4 linked regions of the Anolis sagrei genome follow. The protein of the gene in region 4 purifies or fractionates together with the protein of the main gene of each other region. This does not show direct contact. Links are inferred from orthologs where the notes say so. Each region holds a gene or a part of one and is shown on either strand. Other genes may lie near its edges. The genes, in order: EXOSC3, EXOSC1, EXOSC2 and EXOSC10.

What was found.
Region 1: the proteins of EXOSC10 (region 4) and EXOSC3 purify together in Homo sapiens (affinity purification with mass spectrometry; 8 studies listed by BioGRID and IntAct, counting the BioPlex papers as one, with this or other methods). This does not show direct contact. The link is inferred for Anolis sagrei from reciprocal best matches to the Homo sapiens genes EXOSC10 and EXOSC3.
Region 2: the proteins of EXOSC10 (region 4) and EXOSC1 purify together in Homo sapiens (co-immunoprecipitation; 8 studies listed by BioGRID and IntAct, counting the BioPlex papers as one, with this or other methods). This does not show direct contact. The link is inferred for Anolis sagrei from reciprocal best matches to the Homo sapiens genes EXOSC10 and EXOSC1.
Region 3: the proteins of EXOSC10 (region 4) and EXOSC2 fractionate together in Homo sapiens (co-fractionation; 9 studies listed by BioGRID and IntAct, with this or other methods). This does not show direct contact. The link is inferred for Anolis sagrei from reciprocal best matches to the Homo sapiens genes EXOSC10 and EXOSC2.

Annotation. Positions count from the first base shown.
Region 1 is NC_090023.1:155,253,459-155,260,910, forward strand, and holds the start of EXOSC3 (exosome complex component RRP40), read left to right. Parts: upstream 1-4,433; 5' UTR 4,434-4,477; coding exon 4,478-4,747; intron 4,748-7,452. UniProt on the Homo sapiens protein: Non-catalytic component of the RNA exosome complex which has 3'->5' exoribonuclease activity and participates in a multitude of cellular RNA processing and degradation events.
Region 2 is NC_090023.1:217,772,382-217,779,231, forward strand, and holds the start of EXOSC1 (exosome complex component CSL4), read right to left. Parts: upstream 3,004-6,850; 5' UTR 2,930-3,003; coding exon 2,902-2,929; intron 1-2,901. UniProt on the Homo sapiens protein: Non-catalytic component of the RNA exosome complex which has 3'->5' exoribonuclease activity and participates in a multitude of cellular RNA processing and degradation events.
Region 3 is NC_090031.1:2,833,492-2,840,407, reverse strand, and holds the start of EXOSC2 (exosome complex component RRP4), read left to right. Parts: upstream 1-3,908; 5' UTR 3,909-3,939; coding exon 3,940-4,058; intron 4,059-5,252; coding exon 5,253-5,354; intron 5,355-6,372; coding exon 6,373-6,418; intron 6,419-6,916. UniProt on the Homo sapiens protein: Non-catalytic component of the RNA exosome complex which has 3'->5' exoribonuclease activity and participates in a multitude of cellular RNA processing and degradation events.
Region 4 is NC_090033.1:7,031,135-7,038,733, reverse strand, and holds the start of EXOSC10 (exosome complex component 10), read left to right. Parts: upstream 1-4,583; 5' UTR 4,584-4,664; coding exon 4,665-4,772; intron 4,773-6,540; coding exon 6,541-6,677; intron 6,678-6,929; coding exon 6,930-7,053; intron 7,054-7,159; coding exon 7,160-7,264; intron 7,265-7,337; coding exon 7,338-7,506; intron 7,507-7,599. Other genes in the region: serine/threonine-protein kinase mTOR, read right to left, coding at 1,114-1,222, 1,361-1,480. UniProt on the Homo sapiens protein: Catalytic component of the RNA exosome complex which has 3'->5' exoribonuclease activity and participates in a multitude of cellular RNA processing and degradation events.

The sequences.
Region 1 (7,452 bases), on a different chromosome or scaffold from region 4:
GGGGTGGTGACGGCCGACAGGGAGCTCTGGCGTGGGCTGGTCCATGAGGTCACGAAGAGTCGGAGACGACTGAACGAATGAACAACAACAACATTTGAATATTCTGGAGACTATTTGAAGGTTTCTTCCAACATGCTTAGTGATCCATAAGTTGTTGCTGTTGTTGCATGCTTTCAAGTTATCTTTGACTTAGTTTGACCCTAAGGAAACCAGATGTTCAGAGGCGATTTGCCTTTTTCTTCCTCTGAGGCCGAGATAATATGACTTTCCCAAAATCACCTAGTTGGCTTCTGTGGCTGAGGAAGGATTGACATTGTAGTCCCCCAGTGTCATAGTTCAGCACTCAAACCATCAAACAAGCAGAGGCTTTATCAACTTAGGGGAAATTATAACTTACACAAAACTCTTGTCGATTGAGTTTTTTGTGTGTTTCTACTGTCAGCCAGATGGTGTCACCACTGCTTAATAAGCCAAGAGCAAAATACTCTTGCCCTTTGCTTATCTCATTCCAGCTAAATGAAAACAGTGTAAGTTAAACATTCGTGTTTACAAAAAACTGTAAAAATGTTTGACAGGAAATAGTTTATGTACATTGTAAAAATGAGCCATCTACACATGGCAGTTGTATGTATTACATATGCTGAAATGCCCAATTTCTACTAATGGCAATAAAGGTGTTACTTCAATAATGGGATGATGTGTAGGTCGATCAACTTTCTTGGAAGAAGAGGTTCTCTCATCTGCAAAAGCAGGAGAGAAAAGGAAAAGATACCAAGGCTGTCCAGTTGGTGGGATGAAAGCTTGGTCAGACACTTTTAGAGAGCCACTGACAGTCAAGTAGAGCGCATCAAGATGGGCTAGTAGTAGAATGCGCCGTTGTATCAACTTCTCTGATTTTGGCTACCAGGTTCACTGTCAAACATCTTTTAAAATAGTGAGCAGGTATGTACTTTGGCACAAAACAGTATGAACCAAACTGTTCTAGTTCCCAAGACAAATATAAAAAGATTTATCGTGACTTTCCAAATACGTGTTAACTAGTTCTATGCCTTTGCCAGATAGAGAAAAACAAGCAAAATTGCCTTGGTTGATGTTCCATACCAAAAAGGAAGACAGTATAGGAAGAGATTCAGCAACCAATTGGGGAAACCTGACACTTCATGTCTTTTTGTTCTATTTCACACATTCATTGTGAGATGCTGAGGAGAAATTCTATATGAGAAGTCACACAAGAATGTGTTCAATCAACTTTTATATTTGGGCTTAGTAAATAAAACACTGTGATGTTTTATACAAAGCTTATGTTTCCCATATTTGCCCCTGACATCCCCGTTGCCTCGGCACTATAAGAGGGTTGTGTGAGGCCAGTCACTCTTGTTGCAATGGTGTATTAACGGTGATGCCATGGATCATATTTTTGTTCTTTGGAACCACTGGTGGTCCATGGACCACTGATGTAGTTAAGATTGTGCTGGAGGACTTAGACAGATTCACAAACACTTCTGAGGGGTTGAGATTGTGGGCACTGAATCCGTCGATAAGAGGAATCACACTGTACAGACAATCCCTGAATTACATGCATTCAACTTACAAATAACTCAGTTATAAATAGTTAAGGCTGGGAGTGAGACAACAGGTAGTGAGAGAAATCAACCTCTTGGAAGAAAACATCACTCCTGGAACAGTGATCATAGAGTAAAGGTGTCTCCACTGAGGCTTTCTCACCAATCTTTGTGTCCACAACAAGCCAATTTTTGTTCAAAATCCAATTATCAGAGACAGAGAGGCGACATCTCCTGAACAGGCAGCAAAACAAACATCATAGGGGTTAGGCCAAAAAGGACTAAGCAATGTTTTTATACTGTCTAAAGAAAAGGGAGTTTCTAGGATCTTAGCACAACTAAGATATCCTCAGTGGCCGGAGGTTTAGGGAATTTTAATGGTATATGTTAGTATACTTGGGAAGTCTGATCTGGCCACAGTGTTCCATGCTCTGGTTATATCCCAAGTAGATTACTGCAACACACTCTATGTAGGATTGCCTTTGAAGACTGTTCGGAAACTCCAGCTAGTCCATTACTCACCGGAGCGTCATACAGGGAGCATACCACCACCACCCCGCCCTGCTGTGTCAGCTCCATTGGCCACCAGTCCATTTCCGAGCACAATTCAAAGTGCTGGTCTTGGCCTATTAAGCCCTATACAGTTCCGGCCCAGCTTACTTGTCGGAATGTATCTCCCTCTACATTCCACCTCATAGTTTGAGATCATTTGGGAAGGCCCTGCTCTCAGCCCCGTCAGCTTTGCAAAAGCGTTTGGCAGGGACAAGGGACAGGGCCTTCTTGGTGGTGACCCATCATCTGTGGAACTCGCTCCCCAGTGAGATAAGGTCGGCCTCGTCTCTCCTTTCTTTTATTAGGAAGAAACTGAAATCATATTTCTGGCACCAGGTCTTTGGATAGGCATGATAACACTTTGGATGTAGAACTGGATTGGAAGTGGCTATGTGGTTCAATAATAACATTTTAAATTGTTTTAACTTACGCTTTTTATTGTTTTTAAATTGTTGCTATATTTGTTGTATCTCTCTGCATGTCATGGCATTGAATTGTTGCCAGTGTTGCTAGCGTAAGCCACTCTGAGCACCCCCTTGGGGGTTGAGAAGGGCAGGGTAGAAATGTTGGAAATAAAATAAATAAATAAATGTTGTAAATTATTAATTTGTTTTATATGGGTTATGAAATGTGCGATTTGTTTATTTAGTTTATGTTTCTGTTGAATTTTTTGTTTGTAATTTTTTATTGGTTTTTAACACTGTACGTTGCTTTGAATCCCACCCACGGGAGAAAAGTGGGATAAAAGCATTTGCAAATATTGAGTAATGGACATAGGAAAACGGAACAACTATACGATGTAATTGGACAATGTTTTTATTGAGGATTTACTGATTTACTTTTGTATTGTTGTTGTTATGATTTTATTGACGTTAATGTCTTAAATTGTATTTGTACTCTGTGGCATTGCCTTGTCACCGCAAGGCTGAGAGGGGCGGTATACAAATAAAGTAAATAAATAAATAAATGGAGGCCCCCGGTGGCACAGTGGGTTAAAGCACTGAGCTGCTGAGCTTGTTGTTCGAAAGGTCGCAGGTTCAATTCCGGGGAGCGGCGTGAGCTTCCGCTGTCAACCCTAGCTTCTGCCAACCTAGCAGTTCGAAAACATGCAAATGTGAGTAGATCAATAGGTACCGCTCCGGCGGGAAGGTAACGGCGCTCCATGCAGGCATGCCGGCCACATGACCTTGGAGGTGCCTATGGACAACGCTGGCTCTTTGGCTTAGAAATGGAGATGAGCACCACACCCCAGAGTCAGACATGACTGGACTTAATGTCAGGGGACTACCTTTACCTTTACCTAAATAAATAAATATAAATAGCACAGTTGATCCAACTCAAAACTGGAGTGATTTTTTAAAACCATAGTTGCAGACTTCCACAAACATTTAAAATGAAATATTTCGTGAATAACAAACCTAGTATTGTCGAAGGCTTTCATGGCTGGAATCACTAGGTTCTTGTAGGTTTTTTCGGGCTATAGGGCCATGTTCTAGAGGCATTTCTCTATGTAGTCTGACAACACAGAAATGAGAACACAGAAATGCTGGACCACTCCAACAACCACCATGTCAGACTACACAGAGAAGCCATTGAAATCCACAAGCATGTGGACAATTTCAACAGAAAGGAGACCATGAAAATGAACAAAATCTGGCTACCAGTATTAAAAAAAACTCTAAAATTACAACAACAAAACAGCAGAGAGGAAACAACCAGGCACATCTTAACACCTCTCAACAGAACATTTCCCCAGGCTCAGCCAGGCCTTCAAATGCTAATGAAGGTGGTCAGCTGAAACATTCACACCTAGCTTCAGCAGAGAGCTCTTTGCCCCACCCCAGCCATTCCACAGATATATAAACCCATTGTCCTATTTCCAACAGACCTCACTACCTCTGAGGATGCTTGCCATAGATGCAGGCGAAACGTCAGGAGAAATGCCTCTAGAACATGGCCCTATAGCCCGAAAAAACCTACAAGAACCTAACAAACCTAGTGTTCCAGAAACTGGCCTTCCAGGTTGGGACTTCAGTTCCCATAATCCCTGATCATTGGCCAAGGCAGCTGAGGCTTCTAGGAATTGAAGTCCAAAACACCTGGAGGTGCAGAGTTTGGGAATCTGCTGTGTATTCAGATTACAAGGCAAGAGAGTCTCGGAAAAGGGACGCCTGGTACTCCTTGTCAAAAGGCCTGGCTGCAGCCAACGACAAACGGAGGCCTCCAACTGCCAGCATTCCAAACTTTTGTCCGTCGCTCTTTGTGAACGTCGCCAGTTCCAAGGAGACCAGTGGAGACAGAGGGTTCTGAGCTACGCATGCGCAAACGGATCCCGCGAGACCTCAACGGCCGCTCGCGCAGTCATGGCGGACGTCGGCGCCTGCGAGGCCCAGGAGCGGGTCGGGCGAGTAGTGCTGCCGGGGGAGGCGCTGCTCCTGCCGGGCCACGCAGAGGCGGACAGCGAGCGGCTACGCCTGTCGGCCAACGGGCCTCAGAAGGGGAAGCTGGTGTGCGGGCCGGGCCTGAGGCGCGGTGGAGAAGGCCTGCTGGTTACGAAATGCGGCCTACTACGCTACCGCGGCCCCGGAAGTGGCTCTGGAGGCGTTTATTGGGTAGACTCTCAGCAGAGGCGGGTAAGGAAGCGCGAGGGCCAGACTGCGCATGCGCGCTTGAGCACTTCTTATATGTACCCTATGGGAGTGGAGCGCTGTCTAAGAGTTGCTCAAGTAAACTGACAGAAGGATTTTGTTTATATATAACGTTATACCAAGTGCTGTAGGTTATATAGTTTGCAAACAAATTAATCATATGTGGCCTAAGCAATGCTACAATGAGGTGGATCTATAATTGGTACTAAATAATAATAAGGCAGGGAGTTTCAGAAAAACATCTATTTCTGTTTTATTGACTATTCTAAAGCCTTTGACTGTGTGAATCATACTAAATTGTGGCGAGTTCCTGGTGGTATGGGGATGCCAAGCCACCCTGTCTCTCTCCTGAGGAATCTGTATAAGGACAAAGTCGCAGCAGTAAGAACTGACCATGGAACAACAGACTGGTTCAAGATTGGGAAAGGCGTATGACAGGGTTGTATACTCTCCCCCAACCTATTCAACTTGTATGCAGAACACATCATGTGATGTGTGGGGCTTGAGGAGTACAAGGCTGGGGTGAAAATTGCTGGAAGAAACATTAACAACCTTAGATATGCAGATGACACCACTTTGATGGCCAAAAGCGAGGAGGAGCTGAGGAGTCTTCTAATCAAGGTGAAAGAAGAAAGCACAAAAGCTGAGTTGCAGCTAAACATCAAAAAAACCAATATTATAGCAACAAGAATGATTGACAACTGGGAAATAGAGGGAGAAAACATGAAGGCAGTGACAAACTTCGTATTTCTAGGTGCAAAGATGATTCCCTGGTTGCAGACGCAGACTGCAGCCAGGGAATCAGGAGACGCTTACTTCTTGGGAGGAGAGCAATGACAAACTCTGGTGCTGGAGGAAAGTTCTGAGAGTGCCTTGGACAGTGAGAAGATCCAACCAGTCCATACTTCAAGAAATAAAGCCTGACTGCTCATTGGAGGGAAAGATAGTAGAGGCCAAGATGAAGTACTTTGGCCACATCATGTGAAGAAAGGAAAGCTTTGGCCACATCATGTGAAGAAAGGAAAGTCAATTATGCTGGGGAAAATGGAAGGAAAAGGGAAGAGGGGCCAATCAAGGGCAAGATGGATGGATGGTATCCTTGAAGTGACTGGATTGACCTTGAAGCAGCTGGGGTGGTGACGGCCGACAAGGAGCTCTGGCATGGGCTGGTTTATGAAGTCACGAAGTGTCGGAAACAACTGAATGAACAAAATAATAATTATTATAATAAAACTTTATTTATACCCCGCCACCATCTTCCCAAGGGGACTCGGGACAGCTTACATGAGGCCAAGCCCGACAATACATCACATCAGTATAAACCAACACAGCAATAAAATAAAACAAAAAATACAATACAATACAAAACCATTATAAATAACATATCAGCAATAAAACAACATTTAAAAACACAAGGATCCAACACTGGACAGGGCCAATTCAACTAGATTAAAAATTTTAAACACTGGATGTGACAACAGTGAAATTAGTCTGAACAGGTGTTTTAGAGGGTAGGGTAGGGGTGATTGCCCCAACAGGTAGAATAAAGTGCTACAGAGGATATTTTGCAGAGAATTGGTCAGATCAGGGAATTATTCATCTTTCATTCAGGGAAGGCACATTGGAACAAGCAAGTTTTCAAGCTCCTAAAGACTGCCAATGGGGGAGGGGTTCCTAATATCTTTGGGGAGTGAGTTCCAGAGTCAAGGGGCCACTACAGAAAAGTCCCTCTCTTTCAACCCCACAAGTTGCACCTGTGAAGATGGCTCACCAATGGTTCCTCTTCATCCTGGAAAGAAGTGACTAGTGGGGTGCCACAGGGTTCTGTCCGGGGCCCAGTACTGTTCAATATTTTTATTAATGACTTGGATGAAAGTTTAGAGGGCATGCTTATCAAATTTGCGGATGAAACCAAATTAGAAGAGATAGCTAATGCTCCAGTGACAGGATCAGAATCCAAAATGATTCAACAGATTAGAGCGCAGATTGGCCAAAACTAACAAAAAGAATTTTGACAAGAACAAATGTAAGATACTACATTTAAGCAGAAATCCACAGATGACAGGATGGGGGATGCCTGGCTTGACAACAGTCCATGTGAGAATGATCTTGGAGTCTTCATGGACAACCAGTTGAACATGAGCCAGCAGTGTGGTGAAACAGCTACAAAAACCAATGGGATTTTGGACTGCATCAAAAAGGTGTATAGTGTCTAGATCAAGGGAAGCCTTTGTGTTCTGCTATGGTCAGCCCTCACCTGGAATACTGTTCAAAAGAGATAATGACAAACTGGAAGGTGTCCAGAGGAGGACATCTAAAATGATCAAAATTCTGGAGACCAGGCCTATAAGGAGCGTCTTAAAGTACTGAGCATGTTTTGCTTACAGAAGAGAAGGTTGAGAGGAGACATGATCACTATGTATAAATATATGAAAGGATGCCATAAGGAAGAGGGAGCAGGCATGTTTTCTGCTGCCCTGGAAACTAGGATTCAGAATAAAGGGTTCAATTACAGGAATGGAGATCCCACCTGAACATTAGGAAGAATTTACAACCCTGCCCTTACAAGCTGTTCAGCAGTGGAACTCTCTGCCTTGGATTGTGGTGGAAGCTCCTTCCTTGAAAGCTTTTAAACAGGCTGGGTGACCATCTGTCAGGGATACTTTGGTTGTAGTTTTCCTGGATGGAAG
Region 2 (6,850 bases), on a different chromosome or scaffold from region 4:
GACTGGACCCATGAATTGTAGAATCACAGAGATGGAAGAGACCTAAAGGGCCATCCAATCCATCCCCCTGACATGCAAGAAAACACAATGAAAGCACCCCCAAGGGATGGCCATCCAGCCTCTGCTTTAAAACCTCCAGAGAAGGAGACTATCAGAATATATTCCACAACCGTACAGCTCTGACCATCAGGAAATTCTTCTGAATGTTTAGGTGGACTCTTTTTCTCCTGCAGTTTGAATCTACTGCTCCATGTCCTAATCTTTAGAGCAGCAGAAAAAACTTTTCTCCTCCTCAATGTGACATCTTTTCAAATATTTACACATGGTTCTCATGTCCTCTCAGCCTTCTTTTCCCCAAGCTAAACACACTCACATTCCTTAGTGGCTCCTCATAGGACTCGGTTTCCAAACCTTTGCTCACTTTGGTAGCCCTTCTCTGTGGACGCCTTATTTATTTATTTACTGTATTTTTACCCTGCTCTTTCTCACCCTGAAAGGGGACTCAGAGCAGCTTCCAAACTGGCAGTAATTACAAATATATACAAATACAATATACACCTACACTAAAATCAATACAAATTTTAAAAATAATAGAATATCTATTAAAAACCACATAAGATCCGAAGTCATAATCCAGAAGGCATTCCAATTGTGTTGCAATTACTTCACAGCTGCCTATTGCACTGACTTCTCCGAAAGCTTGGTCCCATAGCCAGGTTTTTAGTTTCTTTCTAAAGGTCCGGAGGGAGGGAGCTGATCTGATTTCACTGGGGCCCCTTCCCCACTGCCCCTTCATCCCAGGATATGATCCCAGATTATCTGTTTATCCTAGGTTATCTGGCAGTGTGGACTCATAATCCAGTTTAAAGCAGAAAACTTGGGATCTGATCCTGGGATAAAGGGCCTATCTGGAAGGGCCCTGGGAAGTGAGTTCCACAGCCGAGCCATCACTGAGAAGGCCCTGTCTCTCGTTCCCACCAGCCGCACCTGTGACGAAGGTGGGACCGAGAGCAGGGTCTCCCTAGAACAGTGGTAAACTGGTTGGGATTTCTGGGAGTTGTAGGCCAAAGCACCTGGGGACCCACAGGTTGAGAACCACTGCCCTAGAAGTAAGTAAGTAATGTTATTGATTAGCCCTTAGGCCATATCACAATAAGAAAGAAAACAACAAGGACTGAAAAGACCTTATCACACTCCACTTAGTAAGTTAAAATACGACACTTATAACAACACTGTAAATAAATATAAGACGTGATAAAACTGATAAACTTATCAAGATGAGTATATACATCATATTTCATTATCACCCCTACAATTTACCCCCAATCAGCCCTACATATGTGGTTCTCAGACGTATTGTTTTGCTTAAGTACAGAGCTGTTTTATATGTAATTTTTGGGTCTTGGTCACACATAAAGTATGTTGTTCTGATGTGAGATTCCCAATACATTCTCCGTTTGATATATGGACCAAGGTGGAAGTCTCAGCCCTAGAAGATCTTAACCTCCGAGGTGGTTCATAGAGGGAGATATGTTCAGACAGGTAGGCTGGGCCAGAACCTTCCAGCTTGTCAATATCTCTTTTCAATTATTATTACTTGGATTATTATTCCAAGTGAGGTCTGACTAAAGCAGAATAGAGGGGGGGGGGGGCTAGGACTTCCCTTGATCTCTACACCATTTTGGATTCTGATACCCTTTACGGCTCCGGCCCAGCGTACCTGTCCGAATGTATCTCCTTCTACGTCCCACCCTGGAGTTTAAGATCTGCTGAGGGGGCCCTGCTCTTGGCCCCACCGTTATCACAAGCGAGACTGGTGGGGATGAGAGACAGGGCCTTCTCGGTGGTGGCCCCTCACCTGTGGAATGCACTCCCCGGGGAAATTAGGACATCAACATCCCTCCTCTCCCTCAGGAAGAAGCTAAAAACCTGGATGTGGGACCTGGCCTTCGGGTAAGCTGGCAGATGGAAAAAGACAACCAAGAATGACCAGAGTAGGAAAGGACAATGACAATGCTAAATTGTTTACGGACTTGGATTTGGTGAACACTGACCACAAGATGTTTTTATTGTTGCTAGTATACTGTCTGATGGTTTTAATTAGTTATAACTGTGATATTATGTGGTAAATTTGTGTATTGTATATGGTATTGTATGTTGTAATTGTTAGGCATCGAATTGTGCCTTTTGTAAGCCACCCTGAGTCCCCCCTAGGGGGTTGAGAAGGGCGGGGTAGAAGCACCCCAAATAAATAAATAAATAAATCCTCTTATTGATGCAGCCTAGAATCGCATTGACTGTTTTAGTTGCTGCATCTCACTATTGACTCACATTCAGCGTGTGGTCGACTAAGACTTTTAGATGCCTTTCACATGTTTTCAAACCAGTTGTCACCCATCCTAAAGCATTTCATGTTTATTGCCCAGGTGTAAAAACCTTACATTTCTCCCTGATGGAATTCTTTCTAGTTTTGGCCCATCTCTCTAATCCAGGCATGGGCAAACTTGGGCCCTCCAGGTGTTTGGGACTTCAACTCCCACCATTCCTAACAGCCTCAGACCCCTTCCTTTTCCCCCTCAGCTGCTTAAGCGGCTGAGGGGGAAAAGGAAGGGGCCTGAGGCTGTTAGGAATGGTGGGAGTTGAAGTCCCAAACACCTGGAGGGCCTAAGTTTGCCTATGCCGACTCTAACCTGTTCAAAAGCCATTTTGGATCCTGATACAGACATTATACTCCTATTGATGCGGCCTAGAATGGCACTGGCCTTTTCAACAGCCAAAACATAGAAGTTACAATTTCCAGAAGGCTCTCTTCTCTCCCACGATGTCTCCATAAACTGAGGCCCCCTCCCACGTTTCGAAGACTCCGCCAATCCAATCCATTCCCCATTCTGGGTCACCCACCAGGGACGCAAAACCGCGCGGGCGCCATGACAGAAAGGCTCTCTCCACAGCCAGGCCTCCGAGCCTCCCATTGGCTACTCTCGTGGTCACGTGACTGCTTCGCCCCGGTTTGGGAGACGTCCGGGAGAGAGAGAGAGAAAAAATGTCGGAGGAAGAGTATTAGGCGCCGCGCGGGGCATGACGGGAATCGTAGTTCCATTCGGGACATGCAGCGTGCATGCGCGGACGGGGCTGTTAAAGGGAGGGTGGGAGAGAAGATGCTCAGGTGAGGCAGGAACCGGGAAGCGTCTGGGGCTGAGGATGGCAGGAACAGGTAAGCTCCGTGCCTTGGCCTCGTTGTGTTGCATGCTTTGAACCCTAAAGGAGAGAGTCTCCTTTGTTCCTCTCCATTGTTATTTTGGAGCTCGTCTTCCATAGCTAAGCCTTTGGCATCCCTCCACCCTTTCAATCACAAAGAGGAGGCTGTGATGATTTCTCTTCCTTCCTTCCCTTCATAATGACCTGGCTTTCCCCATATTAACCTCCAGCTTCTAAGAGGTTTTATGAATGGATGTGCAGTATTTTCTTCCTCCGGTTTGTGCAGCTACACTGTAGAATAAATGCGGTTTGATACCGCTTTAACTGCCCTGGCTCAGTGCTAGCTCTCTGCCAAAGAGTGCTGGTACTTCATCTAACTACAAACCCCTGGATTCCAATAGCATTGAGCCAGGGCAGTTAAAGTGGTGTCAAACTGTGTTAATTCTACAGTGTAGATTGCTCCAAGGGGGTATTTATTTATATATAACTAAACATCCCTTGCCACGCGTTGATGTGGCCCAGTCTGTGTATATGAGTTTTATGTGTGTGTATATATTTGTGTATGTGTTTATATATGTCTGTCTGCATATATATATATATATATATATATATATAAGCAGACAGACATATATACACAAACACACACATATATATGGTTTTGCGCATGGAAGTAACGTATTTTTATTTTCTATTTTTTGCTTTTTTAGTCTCTTCTGTTGTGTTTTTTAGTGTTTTTATGAGTGATGGTCACTCATTGGCCTGATACGTATATTGCAGGCATGGGCAAACTTGGGCCTTCCAGGTGTTTTGGACTTCAACTCCCACAATTCCTAACAGCCGGTAGGCTGTTAGGAATTGTGGGAGTTGAAGTCCAAAACACCTGGAGGGCCCAAGTTTGCCCATGCCTGGTATATTGTGTCCAAATTTGGTGTCAATTCATCCAGTGGTTTTTGAGTTCTGTTAATCCCACAAACGAACATTACATTTTTATTTATATAGACTACCCATCCCCTGCCACGCGTTGCTGTGGCCCACATGAGGGTTCTGTGTGGGAGGTCTGGCCCAAATCTATCGTTGGTGGGGTTCAAAATGCTCTGAGATTGTAGGTGAACTATAAATCCCAGGAACTACAACTCCCAAATGTCAAGATTCTATTTTCCCCAAACTCCACCAGTGTTCACATTTGGGCATATGGAGTGTTCGTGTAGAGTTTGGTCCAGATCCATCATTGTTTGAGTCCACAGTGATCTCTGGATGTAGGTGAACTACAACTCCAAAACCAAAGGACACTGCCCACCAAACCCTTTCAGTATTTTCTGTTGGTCATGGGAGTTCTGTGTGCCAAGTTTGGTTCAATTCTATCATTGGTGGGGTTCAGAATGCTCTGTGATTGTAGGTGAACTATAAATCCCAGCAACTACAACTCCCAAATGACAAAATCCATTTTTTGAGTGAAGGACATACATTGGGTTGTTAGGTGTCTTGTGTCCAAATTTGGTGTCAATTCGTCCAGTGGTTTTTGGGTTATGTTAATCCCACAAACGAACATTACATTTTTATTTCTATAGATATTGAGGTTTGATACTTTAACTGCCCTGGCTCAATGCTAGCTCTGTGACAAAGAGTGCTGCTGCTTTACCTGCCTGCAAATCCCAGGATTCCAATAGCATTGAGCCACGCAGTTAAAGTGGTGTCAAACTGCGTTAACTCTACAGTGTAGACTGTTTCAAGGGGGTGATGACTGGAGTTGTCCTGTTTCCCCTTCAGAAGGGATGAGGCTCTGATGGCATGGAGGGCATTCCTCCTCTGCTTGCAAGGAACCCATTAAGCCTCCCACGCATCCCCTGCTCCCTGGGAGCATCTCAGTGGTGATAATCTCCCCCTGTGACGCTGATGCTGCCATCTGGCAAAGGGGCTTCAAAAGTCACTGGTAATCTGTGCCCAGGAACCTTGCCAGCTCTGCCCAGCTGGCCGAAAGGGAGGGGATGACCTCTGGGAGCAACTGGGAAGACAATGCCTCTCTATCTGTCTGTGAGAGTGGATATTAATGTGCCACATATAGACAGTATGCTATGATTCCACCAGAGACAGGCTCACTGTACGGGGGAAGGTCTTACAGCCATAGAAAAGAATCTATAGGATTGCAAGAGACCACAAAAGGCCATTGAGTCTCTAACCCCATTTTGCCATGAAGGAGCACACAATCAAAGCACTCCCAACACATGGCCAGCCACCCTCTGCTTAGAATCATAGAATTGGAAGAGAGCTCGTGGGCCATCCAGTCCAACCCCCTGCCAAGAAGTAGGAAAATCGCATTTAAATCACCCCCGACAGATGCCCATCCAGCCTCTGTTTAAAAGCCTCCAAAGAAGGAGCCTCCACCACATTCCGGGGCAGAGAGTTCCACTGCTGGACAGTTCTCACAGTCAGAAAGTTCTTCCTCATGTTCAGGTGGAATAACTTTTCCTGCAAGTTGAAGCCAGGTCTTTTATCACCCAGTCTTTGTTTATTTACTTTATTTTTATTTGTTTATTTTATTATCCCACCTTTTTCCCAATATAGCGGGCATGGGCAAACGATGCCCCCCCAACACATTTTGAAGTCCAACTTCCATAATTCCTAACAGCTAGTAGGCTGTTAGGAATTGTGGGAGTTGAAGTCCAAAGCTCCTGGAGGACCGAAGTTTGCCCATGCCTGCAATAGAAGAACTCAAGCCAGCTAACAACAAATACAAAACAATGCCAATTGAAACAATGTAAAGGCACTGCTCCCAGACTCTTGAACTCCCTCCCTAGAGACACCTAGGGCCCTTCTGTACAGCCTATATCCCAAAATATCAAGGCAGAAAATCCCACAATATCTACTGGGTTATCTAAGGGCCTTTCCACACAGCTCTATATCCCAGAAGATGCAGGCAAAAAGTTCCACAATATCTGCTTTGAACTGGGTTCTCTGAGTCCACACTCAGATGATGTGGGATTTCCTGCCTTGATATTCTGGGATATAGGGCTGTGTGGAAGGGCCCTGAGTTCCCATTGCCATATATTCCAGTTCAAAGCAGAAAATGTGGGATTTTACTCAGCTGTGTGGAAGGGCCCCCAGTGACACCATCATTGCTTGCCTTTCATAAGCAGGTAAAACCTTTCCTCTTCCATTGTACATTTGTGGAATCGACGAGAGGCAGGCCCCCTTCCACACAGCTGTATAAAATTCACACTGAGCTGGATTATATGACAATGTAGACTCAGATAATCCAGTTCAAAGCAGATATTGTGGACTTTTTGGCTTGATATTCTGGGTTATATGGTTGTGTGGAAGGACCTGCAGGCTGCTGAATGAGATTTTTGGGGAGCTGTGTAGTTTTAAATGTATTTTAATATTTGTTATGTTCCGTGATATAAGGATTTGATTGCATTTATAGTTTTTATATTCCTATTTTAATTAATGCATTTGTCCTGTTCTAATTGTACTGTGTCATGTTTGCTGTTAATTGCTTTGAGTCCCTATGTTGGGAGAAAGTCGGGATAAAACTAAAATTTATTTGGGGAGCAGGGTGAGTTCCTTCTGTTAGTTTCAGCTTCTGCCAACATAGCAGTTTGAAACCATGCAAATGTGAGTAGATCAATAGGTACTGCTCCGGTGGGAAGATAAC
Region 3 (6,916 bases), on a different chromosome or scaffold from region 4:
GACTATATCTCCCATCAGTCAGGTGGGAGATTCCCATTGCACGGGAGATGTAGTGCAGGTCCTATCTCAGGCATGGGTAAACTTGGACCTTCCAGGAGTTTTGAACTACAATGCCCACCATTCCTAACAGCCTTTCCCCCTCAGCTGCTTAAGCATTATAACAATATATCTATTGGGACCTGAAGGTAGGCCTCTCCTAGATCTATCACTCTTATCATCTACCTGAAAATAGGCATCTCTTAGATCTATCACTCTATCACTACCTGAAGGTAGGCATCTCTTAGATCTATGATTCTATCATCTAGCTTAAGCAGTTGAGCGGGAAAAGGAAAGGGCCTGAGGCTGTTAGGAATGGTGGGAGTTGAAGTTCAAAACACCTGGAGGGAAGGCCAAACTTGGCCCATGCCTAATCTATCTCTTTTCATGGCACCCTTCAAAGCAAATTAAATTGAATGCAAACAGATGGAACGATAGCGACAATATCCATTCGTATCAGGATCGGATGTACAGATGCATCGCGGACAGCTTCCAGAGAATGATGGTCACTTTATATACGTATGTAATAATAATAATTAGAGTCATAATAATGACAACACTTCCTGTGTTTACAGAGCTTTGTTATTCTATGAGATTGTATTGGCAAACCGTTCTTTGTACCTCTCTTTACCCTCTTGGACTCCAAATACTGTAATTAATTAATAAATATATATATTTACCTGCAAATTATTGCCCTGGGGCTTGAGACCTGGGTTCAAATCCCTGCTCGGCCATGCAAGTTGCACTCTCTTGGCCTCAAGGGAAGGCAGTGCCCTCCTTTGTCATTGCCAAAGGAGAGGCTGTGTGGTTATCCACCTGGAGGTTTTTTGTGGTGTCTCCCTTCCTGGAAAAATTGGGGTTGACTTGGATGACCTTTACAGGGGGGGGGGGGTCATTTCTGTGGCATAATGTAAAATGAACCATGTAAAGTTCACGTTTGATCAGCCCACACACTGCCTTGCCAGAGAAAGAAAATATGCCACGCAAGTGAACAGTAAAGAACAAGTAGTTTACTGTATTGTTGAAGGCTTTCATGGCTGGGATCACTGGGTTGTTGTAGGTTTTTCAGACTATATGGCAAATGTTCTAGAAGCATTCTCTCCTGACATTTCACCTGCATCTATGGCAAGCATCCTCAGAGGTTGTAAGGTCTCACCATAGATGCAGGCGAAACGTCAGGAGAGAATGCTTCTAGAACATGGCCATATAGCCCGAAAAACCTACAACAACCGAGTAGTTTACTCTTTGTAGTTCAGAACAACATATGTACAATGTTATCAGTTGCATCAACTCACATAACGTCCTTTTATGAGAGATTTAAAGTGGTCTTACTCTGTCCATGTGGAGAAACCTTCCTTAGCAGCTCGCGAAGCAAGAGCACACTCCAAACTGTCTTCTCTCTGCTTCTCTCTTCTTCCCTCTCTGCACTTGCATAGCTCAAGCCTAAACAAAAACGTAACAGTTTCCGAAAGTCCCAGGCTCAGCCTGCTTCCCAATCAGCTTCATGCATCATATTTTACAGTTGTCACACACACACACATGAACTGATTCCTTGCATACTCCAACAGTTTCTACCTTTATGATTCCATAATAGGTTTGCTTAGATGGAAATTAAATAGAATAATTTAATTAATTAATAAAATAATTAAATAATTAATTAAATAAATAAATTTATTCAAATTAAACTAACTAAATAAATTAAATAATTATATAAATGGGAATAAATTAAATAGAATAATTTATTAAATAATTTATTTAATTAATAATTTATTTAATTTAATAATTTATTTATTTACATTAAATTAAGTAGATGTAATAAGGATGCCTTTTATTCCATTTATAAATCATTGATAAAGATATCAAAGCCCAAAAATATAAACTTGTGAAGGGTTTGGTCAGTGGAGGAATTACATTCGGTAATAACGCAATTGAAACAGCACTACCTAGCCCATCATCCCCCAGCACGAATGCAAGAAGATGGCAGAGAAATGTCGACAACATCAACTTTCATAAGGTGCACCAACACTTTCATGGGATGCATCTACACTGTGGAATTGATGCAGTTTAGCACCGCTTTCATTTGCTATGGCATCCTGGGAGTTGTTGTGTTGCAAGTAGAGAATGATGGGATGCCAAGATTGAAGCTTCCATAGGGGGAAATGAGATGGAATAATCAACTCAGTCTCCTGCAACTCCAGCAATGGACACTTGAGGGCAGCAAAGGATTGCAGTTGGAAACCAAAGGGTTATTGCAAGTCTGCTCAATGGATTAAGGCTTGCAATAAGGATTGGCCATAGAAGGTCATTATGCATATGCAAATGCGAAAAAAAATAATCAGAGAAGAGTATCCAAAATAATTACTTATATATAGCATGGTCTTTGCAATAACAAAAACAATATGTATCTATAGAAGGAAGGAGGAATTCCCAAAGAATAACGTTGCTGTGAGTTTTCCGGGCTGTCGGGCCATGTTCCAGTAGCATTCTCTCCTGACGTTTCGCTCACATCTATGGCAGAGGTGGTGAGGTCTGTTGGAAACTAGGAAGATTGGGTTTATATACCTGTAGGATGATGTTCCGGGTGGGAGAAAGAACTCTTGTCTGCTTGAGGCAAGTGTGAATGTTGCAATTGGCCACTTTGATTAGCACTGAATGGCCTTGCAGCTTCAAAGCCTGGCTTCTTCCTGCCTGGGGGGAATCCTTGGAGGTTGTGAGGTCTGTTGGGAACGAGGAATTAATCAGGGGCCCTGATTAATTCTTGTCTGGAATTCAAGGTAATACCTCCCAACAAAGGATTTCCTCCAGGCAGGAAGCAGCCAGGCCTTGAAGCTGCAAGGCCACCCAATGCTAATCAAGGTGGCCAATGGCAACATTCACACCTGCTTCCAACAGACAAGAGTTAATAATAATAATAATAATAATAATAATAATTTAAAATAGATCATCTGGATAAAAAGGAAATGTTTAAGAAAGCATGCCAATATAATGCACATGTCATATATTATTTGTAAAATAATAATTCAAATATAGAATTGCATAATAATAATAATAAGTCGCCGATTTAGGCTGAAAAATGCGGTATAAAAATAAAGCAAATAAATAAATAAATAAATAATAATAATAATAATAATAATACATTTATTATGAATAAATTTGAAATAGATAATCTGGATAAAAAGGAAATATTTTTAAAAAGCATACCAATATAATATGTATGTCATATATTATATTATATATAAAATAATAATCCAAATATAGAATTGCAAAATAATAATAATAATAATAATAATACATTTATTATGAATAAATTTGAAATAAATAATCTAGATAAAAAGGAAGTTTTTTTTAAAAGCACGCCAATATAATGTGCATGCCATATAATATATTTTATATATTTTATATTATATATTTTATGTTATGCACATGTCATATTATATATATATAATATATATATATATAATGCGCATGTCATATATTTTATTTTATATATTTTATATTATATATAAAACAATAATCCAAATATAGAATTGCATATTTAATAATAATAATAATAATAATAATGCATTTGTTGTGAATCAATTTGAAATAAATCATCTGGATAGAAAGGAAATGTATAAAAAACACTCCAATATAATATATACAAGTAATATATTACATTATATAATAAATTTTATTTTATTTACTCATTTTATTTTATTTATATAATATATTTATATATGAAATCCTCCTTGCCCAACAGTCATGAATTTGGGAGTGTGGGTCTCACTCACCATCCTAGGCGTGCAATACGGGCAGGGACCGCCAGAGGGCGCCGAAGGGAGAGCCTTCCATAGAGTCCCGAGGCCTCTCCAGGCGGGACCGGAAGTCGAAGCCTTACCGGAAGCTTGGGTGCCCTCATCCAAGATGGCGGCGGCGGTGGAAGTGCGGCTGCCGGTGGCTCGGAAGCGCCTGGCGAAAGGCGACGGGGAAAGGGACTTGGTGGCCCCCGGAGACACCATCACCACCGACCCGGGATACATGAGGTGAGGAGGAGGAGGAGGGGGACTGCAACTCCCATCACTCCCAGGAAGGGCATAATGGGAGCTTCATCATCTCAGTGTTGTGTCTGGAAGAGGGCTACAAGTGATGCTTTTGGGAACCTCTGTTGACTGAGTGATGGGAGATGTAGTTCATTGTGTTTGGGGGGCAACAGAGGGGATAATGGGAGCTTCAGCTCAGTGTCGTGTCTAGAAGAGGGCTACAAGTGATACTTTTGGGAATCTGTATTGACTGAGTGATGGGATATGTAGTCCACTGTCTTTGAGAGTCTATAGAGGAGACAATGGGAACTTCAGCTCAGTGTCGTGTTCGGAAGAGGGCTATAAGTGATACTTTTGGGAGCTTCTGCTGACTGAGTGATGGGAGCTGTAGTCCACTGTGATTGGGGGGGAGATATAATGGGAACTTCAGTTCAGTGTGGTGTCTGGGAGAGGGATATAAGTGATACTTTGGGGAACCTCTGTTGATGGAGTGATGGGAGATGTAGTCTACTGTGTTTTGGAGAGATGATGGGAACTGCAGGTCAGTGTTGTGTTGGGAAGAGGGCTATAAGTGATACTTTTGGTAACTTCTGTTAACTGAGTGATGGGAGATGTAGTCCACTGTGTTTGGGGGGCCATAGAGGGGGAAATGGGAGCTTCAGTTCAGTGTCGTGACTAGAAGAGGGCTATAAGTGATACTTTTGGGAGCTTCTGCTGACTGAGTGATGGGAGATGTAGTCCACTGTCTTTGGGAGGCTATAGAGGGGATAATGGGAACTTCAGCTCACTAAGTCAATGATGGGAGATGTAGAGGATCCGTGTTAAGGAAGGAATGTCGTCAGGTGACTGTGGGAAGGAAGGAGATCATGGGAGCTTCAGTGTATTGGATGATGGGTGATGCAGTCTGCCATATGAAGTCTGCCATTATCAAAGTGACAGAATGGCCTTTTTCCATGGGTTCAATTTAATTCATTCTCCAAAAATATTATCTCTAAATATATCTATATATATATATATACCTAAAATACATGTAAATGTATATCTATATATCTAAATATATCTAATTATATCTGTTTATACCCCTTACCTCAAACAAAGTCTGCTCAAAATATGAGCATAAGGTGTATTATTAATATTATTATATTAATGAGAACTTTAAATCGTAGCCAGTGACGTATATTCTTTTATGTCCCTAAGGGGCCACGGGACGTATTTGGGGGACGAGAAGCTGATTGCCTCGGTGGCCGGCCTGGTGGAGCGGGTGAATAAGCTGGTCTGTGTCAAAGCCCTGAAAACCAGGTGAGCTCAGCCTATTGTGGTTATTATAATGACTATATTAATATTATTGTTGCCTATATTAACTAGTATTATAATAACTACTAGTTAATATAGGCAACAATAATATTAATATAGTCATTATATTGACTATATTAATATTATTGCGAGATACCTCTACAGCTGTGTTTATTTTGTTATGTGAATTTAATACAATCACAGAATCAAAGAGTTTGAGTCTATGCTCTGCTTAAAAACACCCAGAGAAGGAGTCACAAGGGCAATCTATTCCCTTGTGATCTACTCACATTTGCATGTTTTCAAACTGCTACGTTGGCAGAAGCTGGGGCTAACAGCGGGAGCTCACCCCGCTCCCTGGATTCAAACCTGTGACCTTTCAGTTAGCAAGTTTGGCAGGTCAGGAATTTAATCCACTGTAAGGAGGGGCAGATAATGAATTATTATTATTATTGTCGAAGGCTTTCATGGCCGGAATCACTGGGTTGTTGTAGGTTTTTTCGGGCTATATGGCCATGGTCTAGAGGCATTCTCTCCTGACGTTTCACTTGCATCTATGGCAAGCATCCTCAGAGGTAGTGAGGTGAGGATGCTTGCCATAGATGCATGCAAAACGTCAGGAGAGAATGCCTCTAGACCATGGCCATATAGCCCGAAAAAACCTACAACAACCTATTATTATTATTATTATTATTATTATTACTATTCTTCTACTACTACTACTAAAGGGGTCTTACAGGCTGCAATTCTTTTGCCAGGTGAGTGAAATGCAACCCACTTTCATTAGACATCCAGGAAGTTCCAGAAAATAGATTTTTTAAAAAAATAACATCTATTTAATATGCATTGCATTCTGTCACCATACATATTAAATAAGGAATATTGGGGTGGCTGTCTCAAATATTGTGGACCTCATATCACTGTCTAAGAAAACGACAATGCTGCAAATAAGAGTGACGAGCTGCAAGGAGGCAAGGTAATAAATTTATGATGTGATGATTAATTATTTTGTTCTGTTCTTCAGGTATAACGGTGAAGTCGGAGACATTGTGGTAGGGCGCATCACTGAGGTAAACAAGCCAAACTTCTGGCTTTTGCATCTTGAATACATCCAAAGCTTTCCTTAGGTAAAAGTTTCCCCTTGACATTAAGTCAAGTCAAGTCCGATTCTGGGGGAGGTGCTCATCTCAGTTCCTAAACCAAAGAGCCAGCGTTATCCATAGACACCTCCAAGGTCATGGGGCCACTGATAGAACTGCAAGGAGCGCTTTTACCTTCCTGCCAAAGCAGTGCCTATTGATCTACTCACATTTGCATGTTTTTGAACTGCTAGGTTGGCAGAAGCTAGAGCTAACGACGGGAGTTCACCCCATCTCACGTATTCAAACTGCCAACTGTCCAGTCAGAAAGTTCTGCAGCTTAGCGGTTTAACGCATTGCACCACCGCAGCCCTTTCCTTAACGTTATCATTATTATTATTATTATTATTTTCCTTAACATTGTTATTATTATTTATATCCCACTTTCTTTCACTATAAAAGAAACACCAATTATTATTGTTATTTTCC
Region 4 (7,599 bases):
GGTTGGAGTTAATAATTTTGGAAACACCAGTATAATATTAATGCCTGCGATCACTAACTACCTGCTTGCTGCTTTGTGATTAAAACCTGTTAATGAGATCTGAAGAGTAAGCTCTGATAAGAATTGGGACAGTGATAACAGAAATGTTTGCAACATTCCTTATGTTAAGAAGGAAGTCAACACAAGCCTTTTGTTTGTCAACACCAATCCAGAAGAGTCAACATCTGACCAGGAAACTGAGATGGATCCAGGATGGAAGACGTCTATTTAATTTACAACTTTAGGACTACATCAACAGAATATTTCTATAAAAGACTCGGCCTAATAATGCTCAAATTGTGGTAGACAGAGACGCTGTTCACCCTCCATGCTCTGCTCCATGGGAAGGAGAGAGATGTTGTATTCAGATAGTGGCAGATCTGCACGGGAGCAGTCTGGTTACTTTGGGGCTTCTTTCTCAAAGGAAGAGGAAGAAGTGCGCTTTTGGAGTCTTGGATTTTGTGCAGGGAGTCAGGTTCTGCTGTATGGAAAACAGATATCTGGTCCTTGGCATTGTTCTTAGGGAAGAAGTTTTGGCATTTCAGCGTTCTGAAGTTATGGCGTTATGGAAGTTTTGGAACTATGCGTTGGCAGGCTGCAGGAAATCAGGGTCTGGCCTAACAGGTGCTTCTCCAAGGAGGGAGAAAAGGATATAGTAATATTTGAATGCATGTGGATGAATGCGTGTACATGTGTGTAAATGTTGAGTGAAAATGTAATTCTCCTTTGTTTGTTTGTTAACCAATGTAATTGTGAATCCAATGTAGTTGCATAGAATCTGTATGTCCAATGTCATTCTTTGTCTAAATGTTTTTATGTAATCTGCAATAAAAAGAACCAACGTTTCAAAGTTATTGAAAAGTCATTCATGACATAATGGCCAAGGAGATTGTGCAGAATCTTTATTACTTTGCTTTATACCAGCACTTCTCAAGCTACCTGGCAGATCAGCCTTTCCAACAGTTACTGACGTAAGATTATCATATTATAACTGCTTCCTGTGAACTTGTCATAGGCTGACAAGCCTAACTAAACTACAGACCACTGATTTAGAGTGAAGACCCAGGTACTCACCTATAGCCAGAATGCCTCCTTTCCTCTCATTTGCATCTGAACTAGAGACCAACTCAAAGATGTGGTGATTCAGCTGGTCATAAAAACGAGTGGATTCCTCTTGGCTCATCTACACCAAAGGAAAAGAGGAAGAAAAAGTTCAGTCTCATGGGCACTGCTCGGACACAAAGAGGATGCGTGTTTCCGTCCTTTGGGCTCCTGAATTCAAAGCCCCGCATTCCCGGAGCCCCCCCCCCCTCTCTCTCACCTCTCGGAGCTCCATGGTCACATAATGCTGCAGGTCTTTGGCCGCTTTTGCCCGGGTTTCTTCATTCCTGCTCTTGAGGCCGGTGGCAAACTGCTGGAGGATAATGACGGTCCCCGACATGGTGGCGGTGGTGGATCAGAATCTATGGGGTTCTTTAGGGTCCTGGAAACAGAAGGAAACCATTCTGAAAAAGCCAAAGGAAGAAAAAGGCCGCAACGTAACACAGCAAGTGCCGCCATCCTCGGCAGCAGGCTTGCTATTATTATCAATATTATTATTATGATTATTTGATGCACAACAGGACTGGTACACAACAAACAAGATAATTCTGCTGGCTTTTGTATTCGATCACACATTGGACACTTTCCAAATGTCTAGGACTATGTGATGTATCGGCGAATAATGCGTGCAGATCCGAGTAGGCAGCAGTGTTATTAATATTATTATTAGTCTCCTGCTATTGTTCTTATTACATTATTAGTATTATCTTTATTATTATTATTATTATCATCATCATCATCATCCTTGGCAGCAGTGTCATTACTGCTGCTATTATTATTATTATTATTATTATTATTATTATCCTACTGCTATTGTTCTTATTACATTATTACTATTATTATTATTACCCTACTACTATTGCAATTAATTATTATCCTACTGCTATTTTTCTTATTACATTATTACTATTATCATCATTATCCTACTGTTATTATTACATTATTATTATCCTACTGCTATTGTTATTTAATTATTATTATTATCCTATTTTTTCTTATTACATTATTATTCCCCTCTTGCTATTATTACATTATTATACTACTGCTATTGTTATTATATTAATATTATTATCCTACTATTATTACATTATTATTATTACTCTACTGTTATTGTTATTCCATTATTATTATTATTATCATCCTGCTATTGTTCTTATTACATTGTTATCATCTTTATTACGCTACTGCTATTATTCCATTATTATTACCCTACTGCTATTATTATTACTATCCTGCTATTGTTCTTATTACATTATTATTACTCTACTGCTATTTTTCTGCTTACATTATTATTATCATCATCATCATCATCATCAGCCTACTGCTATTGTTATTACATTATTATTATTATTATTGTTATTATTATTCCTCTACTGCTATTATTATTACATTATTATTACCCTACTGCTATTATTATTACATTATTATCATCCTACTATTGTTCTTATTACATTATTATTATTATTATTATTCCTCTACTGCTGCTATTATTATTATTATTATTCTTATTATTATCCTACTGCTATTGTAATTACATTATTATTATCATCATCCTACTATTGTTCTTATTACATTATTATTATTATTCCTCTACAGCTATTATTAATATTATCCTACTGCTATTATTACATTATTATTATCATCCTACTATTGTTCTTATATGATTATTATTATTATTACTACCCTGCTGCTATTGTAATTACATTATTATTATCATCATCATTATCCTACTGCTATTACTACCTTATTATTATTATAACCTTACTGCTATTATTATTACATTATTCTTATTACCTACTGCTATTGTAATTACATTATTATCCTACTATTTCTTCTTCTTCTTCTTCTTATCATCATCATCATCACCATCATTATCCTACTGCTATTGTTATTACCTTACTATTATTACTATTGTACTGCTATTCTTATTACATTATTCTTATTACCTACTGCTATTGTAGTTACATTATTATCCTACTATTTCTTCTTCTTCTTATCATCATCATCATCATCATCATTATCCTACTGCTATTGTTATTACCTTACTATTATTACTATTGTACTGCTATTCTTATTACATTATTCTTATTACCTACTGCTATTGTAATTACATTATTATCCTACTATTTCTTCTTATTATTATTATTATAATCATCATCATTATCCTACTGCTATTGTTATTACCTTACTATTATTATTATTGTACTGCTATTCTTATTACATTATTCTTATTACCTACTGCTATTGTAATTACATTATTATCCTACTATTTCTTCTTCTTATTATTATTATCATCATCATCATTATCCTACTGCTATTGTTATTACCTTACTATTATTACTATTGTACTGCTATTCTTATTACATTATTCTTATTATTCCTCTACTGCTATCATTATTATTATTATCCTACTGCTATTCTTATTACATTATTATTATCATCCTACTATTGTTCTTATTACATTATTATTACCCTGCTGCTATTGTAATTACATCATTATTATCATCATTATCCTACTGCTATTATTACCTTATTATTATTATAACCCTACTGCTATTATTATATTATTATTATTACTTACTGCTATTGTAATTACATTATTATCCTACTAGTTCTTCTTCTTATTATTATTATTATCATCATCATTATCCTACTGCTATTGTTATTACCTTACTATTATTATTATTGTACTGCTATTATTATTACATTATTATTGTACTGCTATTGTCCTTATTACATTATTATTATTATCATTATCCTACTGCTATTGCCATTACATTATTATTATTACCCTATTGCTATTGCCCTCATTACATTATTATCTTTATTATTGTTGTTGTTGTTATTATCCTCTTCCCTATCAGCCATTTTATTAGTGTTATTAATACTATTATAACTATTTTTATTATCATTATTAATATTCGTGGCCATGTTAGACCTGCTATTGTTGTTAATTACTATTATATTATTGTTATCTAATAGTAATTAACATTATTATTATCCCTGCTCTCATGATCACTCACCTCACAAAGGATATTCTTGCTGTTCTGAGGTAAATTGTGAGGTAAATTCCGTGGTGGACATTCCCCTTCGTTGAGGGAAACCTTCTGAAGGGGAATTGCCCCCCAAAATGTCCTCTTTACTTCCCAAAAATTACCTTTTTTCGACTCACCTCTCTCCTCAGTCTCATCTTCGCCTTTTGCCACCCCGTTCTTTTGACTAGCCAATCAGCTTCTTCGAAATACTAAACAGACCAATAGGAAGGCGCGGCTAGGGTGAGTGACGGGCGTTGGTTCCTGCCCACCACGAAGACAACCTTTCCTTCTCCGCCTCCGCTCAGCGCGAGGGAGGGGCTTCTGGGAATAGACCAATCAAAGGAAAGAATAAAGAAGATCGGCATTAGGGAAACACCAATCAAATGCGTCTCTGGGAAATTTCGCGAGATTCAGCGGGAGTATGCTTTCTTTTCCAAGATGGCGGCTGTGTGAGAGAAGGAAGCGGCGCTCGCTGAGAAAAAGCGGCAAATGGCGGCGAAGGAAGGATTGAGCGGCCCCGACGAGGCGACGGCAATGGAAACCGACCGCGAAGGCTTCGTCCTGCCCGGATTTGGGGACGCAGATGCCTTCGTGAAGGTAGTTTTGAGGGAGGAGAAGGCCCCAGCGGGAGAGCGCATGCGCGCGCTAAGCATGCCGGGAATTGTAGTTTTCAGGGAAGAATGCCCAATTCATGAATCTTAGGCCTCACTTAAAGGATTCTGGGAAGTGTAGTCCTCCAAAAGGACCTTTTCCTACCTATTATTTCCTTTTTATGTCTGCTGGGCTTGGGTTTTACCCCTCAAAGGGAATCTTTTTATTTTAATATTGAATTGAAATAAAATTTTGTTATTTTTGTTATTTTATATTGATTTATTTCAAATTAAATATATTAAATATACAGTAATTATATTGTGTTAGTGTAATCTCTGCTTATTAATTTTATATGCATTCTAATATATTTATTTTAATTTGTCTTAACTTATTTTCCCCATAGAGAATTATATTATGATCTTAATATAATACGTATCCATCAGTTAGTTTTATATTGAGTGTGTGATATAAATAATTATATTTTACATTCATTTATTTTTCCCCCATTTGGAGAGGAGGATTCTGGGAGGTGTAGGTCTGAAAAATGAACATTTCCTTTTTATTTTTATATTTTTAATAATTTATAATTTATTTTCCATACACACACACACAGTTTATATAATTATTCCCATTTTATACAAATTTTTCCATATGTATATATATAGTTTATTGTTCCCATTTATATATATCATACTCTAATTTCCACCATACATATATACCTATATATAATGTAATTTTCCCATTGTAATCATATTTTCCTCATAAATATATTTAATAATTTAATAATTTTGCATACACACACACACACACACACACACACATTGTTTATATAATTATTCCCATTTTATACAATTTCCCCCTCATATATATACATATAGCCATCTGAGGGCTGAGAAAAACGGTATATAAATAAAGTAAATAATATATATATTATTTTTCCCATTTCTATATATTATACTCTAATTTCCACCATGCATATATGTATGTATATATAATGTATTTTCCCATTTTATACATATTTTCCTCATATATATATATTTAATAATTTATCATTTATTTTCCATATATATACATACATATGGTTTATATAATTATTCTCATTTTATACGTTTTTCCCTCATATATATATATATATATATATATATATATATATAATTTATTTTTCCAATGTCTATATATTATACCCTAATTTCCACCATACATATGCTATATACTTATATATAATGTAATTTTCCCATTTTATTCATATTTTTGTCATATATATATATATATATATATATATATAATTTATAATTTATTTTCCATATATACACACAGATAGAGGTAGACATTGATAGATAGATAGAGGTAGAACTGGATAGATAGATGTAGAAATGGATAGATAGATAGATAGATAGAGGTAGAAATTGATTGATAGATAGAGGTAGAACTGGATAGATAGATGTAGAAATTGATAGATAGATAGATAGATAGATAGAGGTAGAACTGGATAGATAGAGGTAGAAATGGATAGATAGATAGAGGCTGAAATGGATAGATAGATAGATGTAGAAATTGATAGATAGATAGAGGTAGAACTGGATAGATAGATAGATAGAGGCTGAAATTGATAGATAGATAGAGGTAGAAGTTGATAGATAGATAGATAAATAGATAGAGGTAGAAATTGATAGATAGAGGTGGAACTGGATAGATAGATAATTGTAGGCTGAACTATCTACCTTGAGTTCCCAAGGCTTCCTTTCCTGACGGTTGTCCTGCCCTTGCTTCCCAGCATGCCCTGGGCTCTGTGGTCTCTGTCACCAAGGCCTCCAATGGCCTCCCACAGCCGGGAGACGAGTACGACTTCTACCGCAGCTTTCCTGGCTTCCAGGCCTATTGTGAGACGCAAGGAGACCGGCTTCTCCAATGGTGAGTCTTGCATCGAATGTTGGAAGGGACCTCCAAAGGCCATCCAGTCCAACCCTATTCTTCTGCCAGGCAGGGGGCACCTTCCAAGCCCTCCTGACAGATGGCTATCCAGCCTCTCAGACATTGGAAGCTTCATAAGGCTATAGAAAATTGGAATCCTGGAGAAAGCAAACCTGCTTCCTCCTCCTTAGGACCTTCTTCCCAATATGTAGACATGACTCTTACGAAGCTGTATTCTGTACCATTTCCCAGCATGAGCAAAGTGATGCAGTATCACGGCTGCCGAAGTCACCTCCGGGACCGGAGCACCGTGACGGAGCTGGAGGACAAGTTCGACCTGCTGGTGGATGCCAACGACGCCATTTTGGAGCGCGTGGTGAGTGCGATCGCCCTGTATAAGTTGGAGGGCTTGGGTGGCAGGAGGGGGCTGGACTGGATGGCCTTTGGGGGTCCCTTCCGACTGTATGGCTTCATAATTGCAGGGCACGCTCTTGGATGAAGCGGCCGGCGTGAACAAGAACCAGCAGCCGGTCCTGCCTTTGGGTTTGCAGCCTCCCAAGACCATCGTTTCCAGCTGGAACCGCAAGGTGAACCTCCTCTTCCTTCTGTTTACATATTATGTGGGAGTGATGTTGTGCTAACGCCCATGTCTCCTCCCAGCAGAGCAGCGAGGCTAGCAAGCGGTCCCGGCCCGAAACCTTCCGCCTTCTCCACGCCAGGAACATCCTGCGCCCGCAGCTCAGGTTCCGGGAGAAAGTGGACAACTCCAACACCCCCTTCGTCCCCAAACTCTTCGTCAAACCCAACGCCATGAAGCCGCTGCCAGAAGGTGACCGAACGAGGGTCAGAAAGGGGCCTGGCTATGGCGGAAGGACAGGGCTTCCGGGAGCAGTTGTGGCCATCTGTCCTCCTGACTCTCACT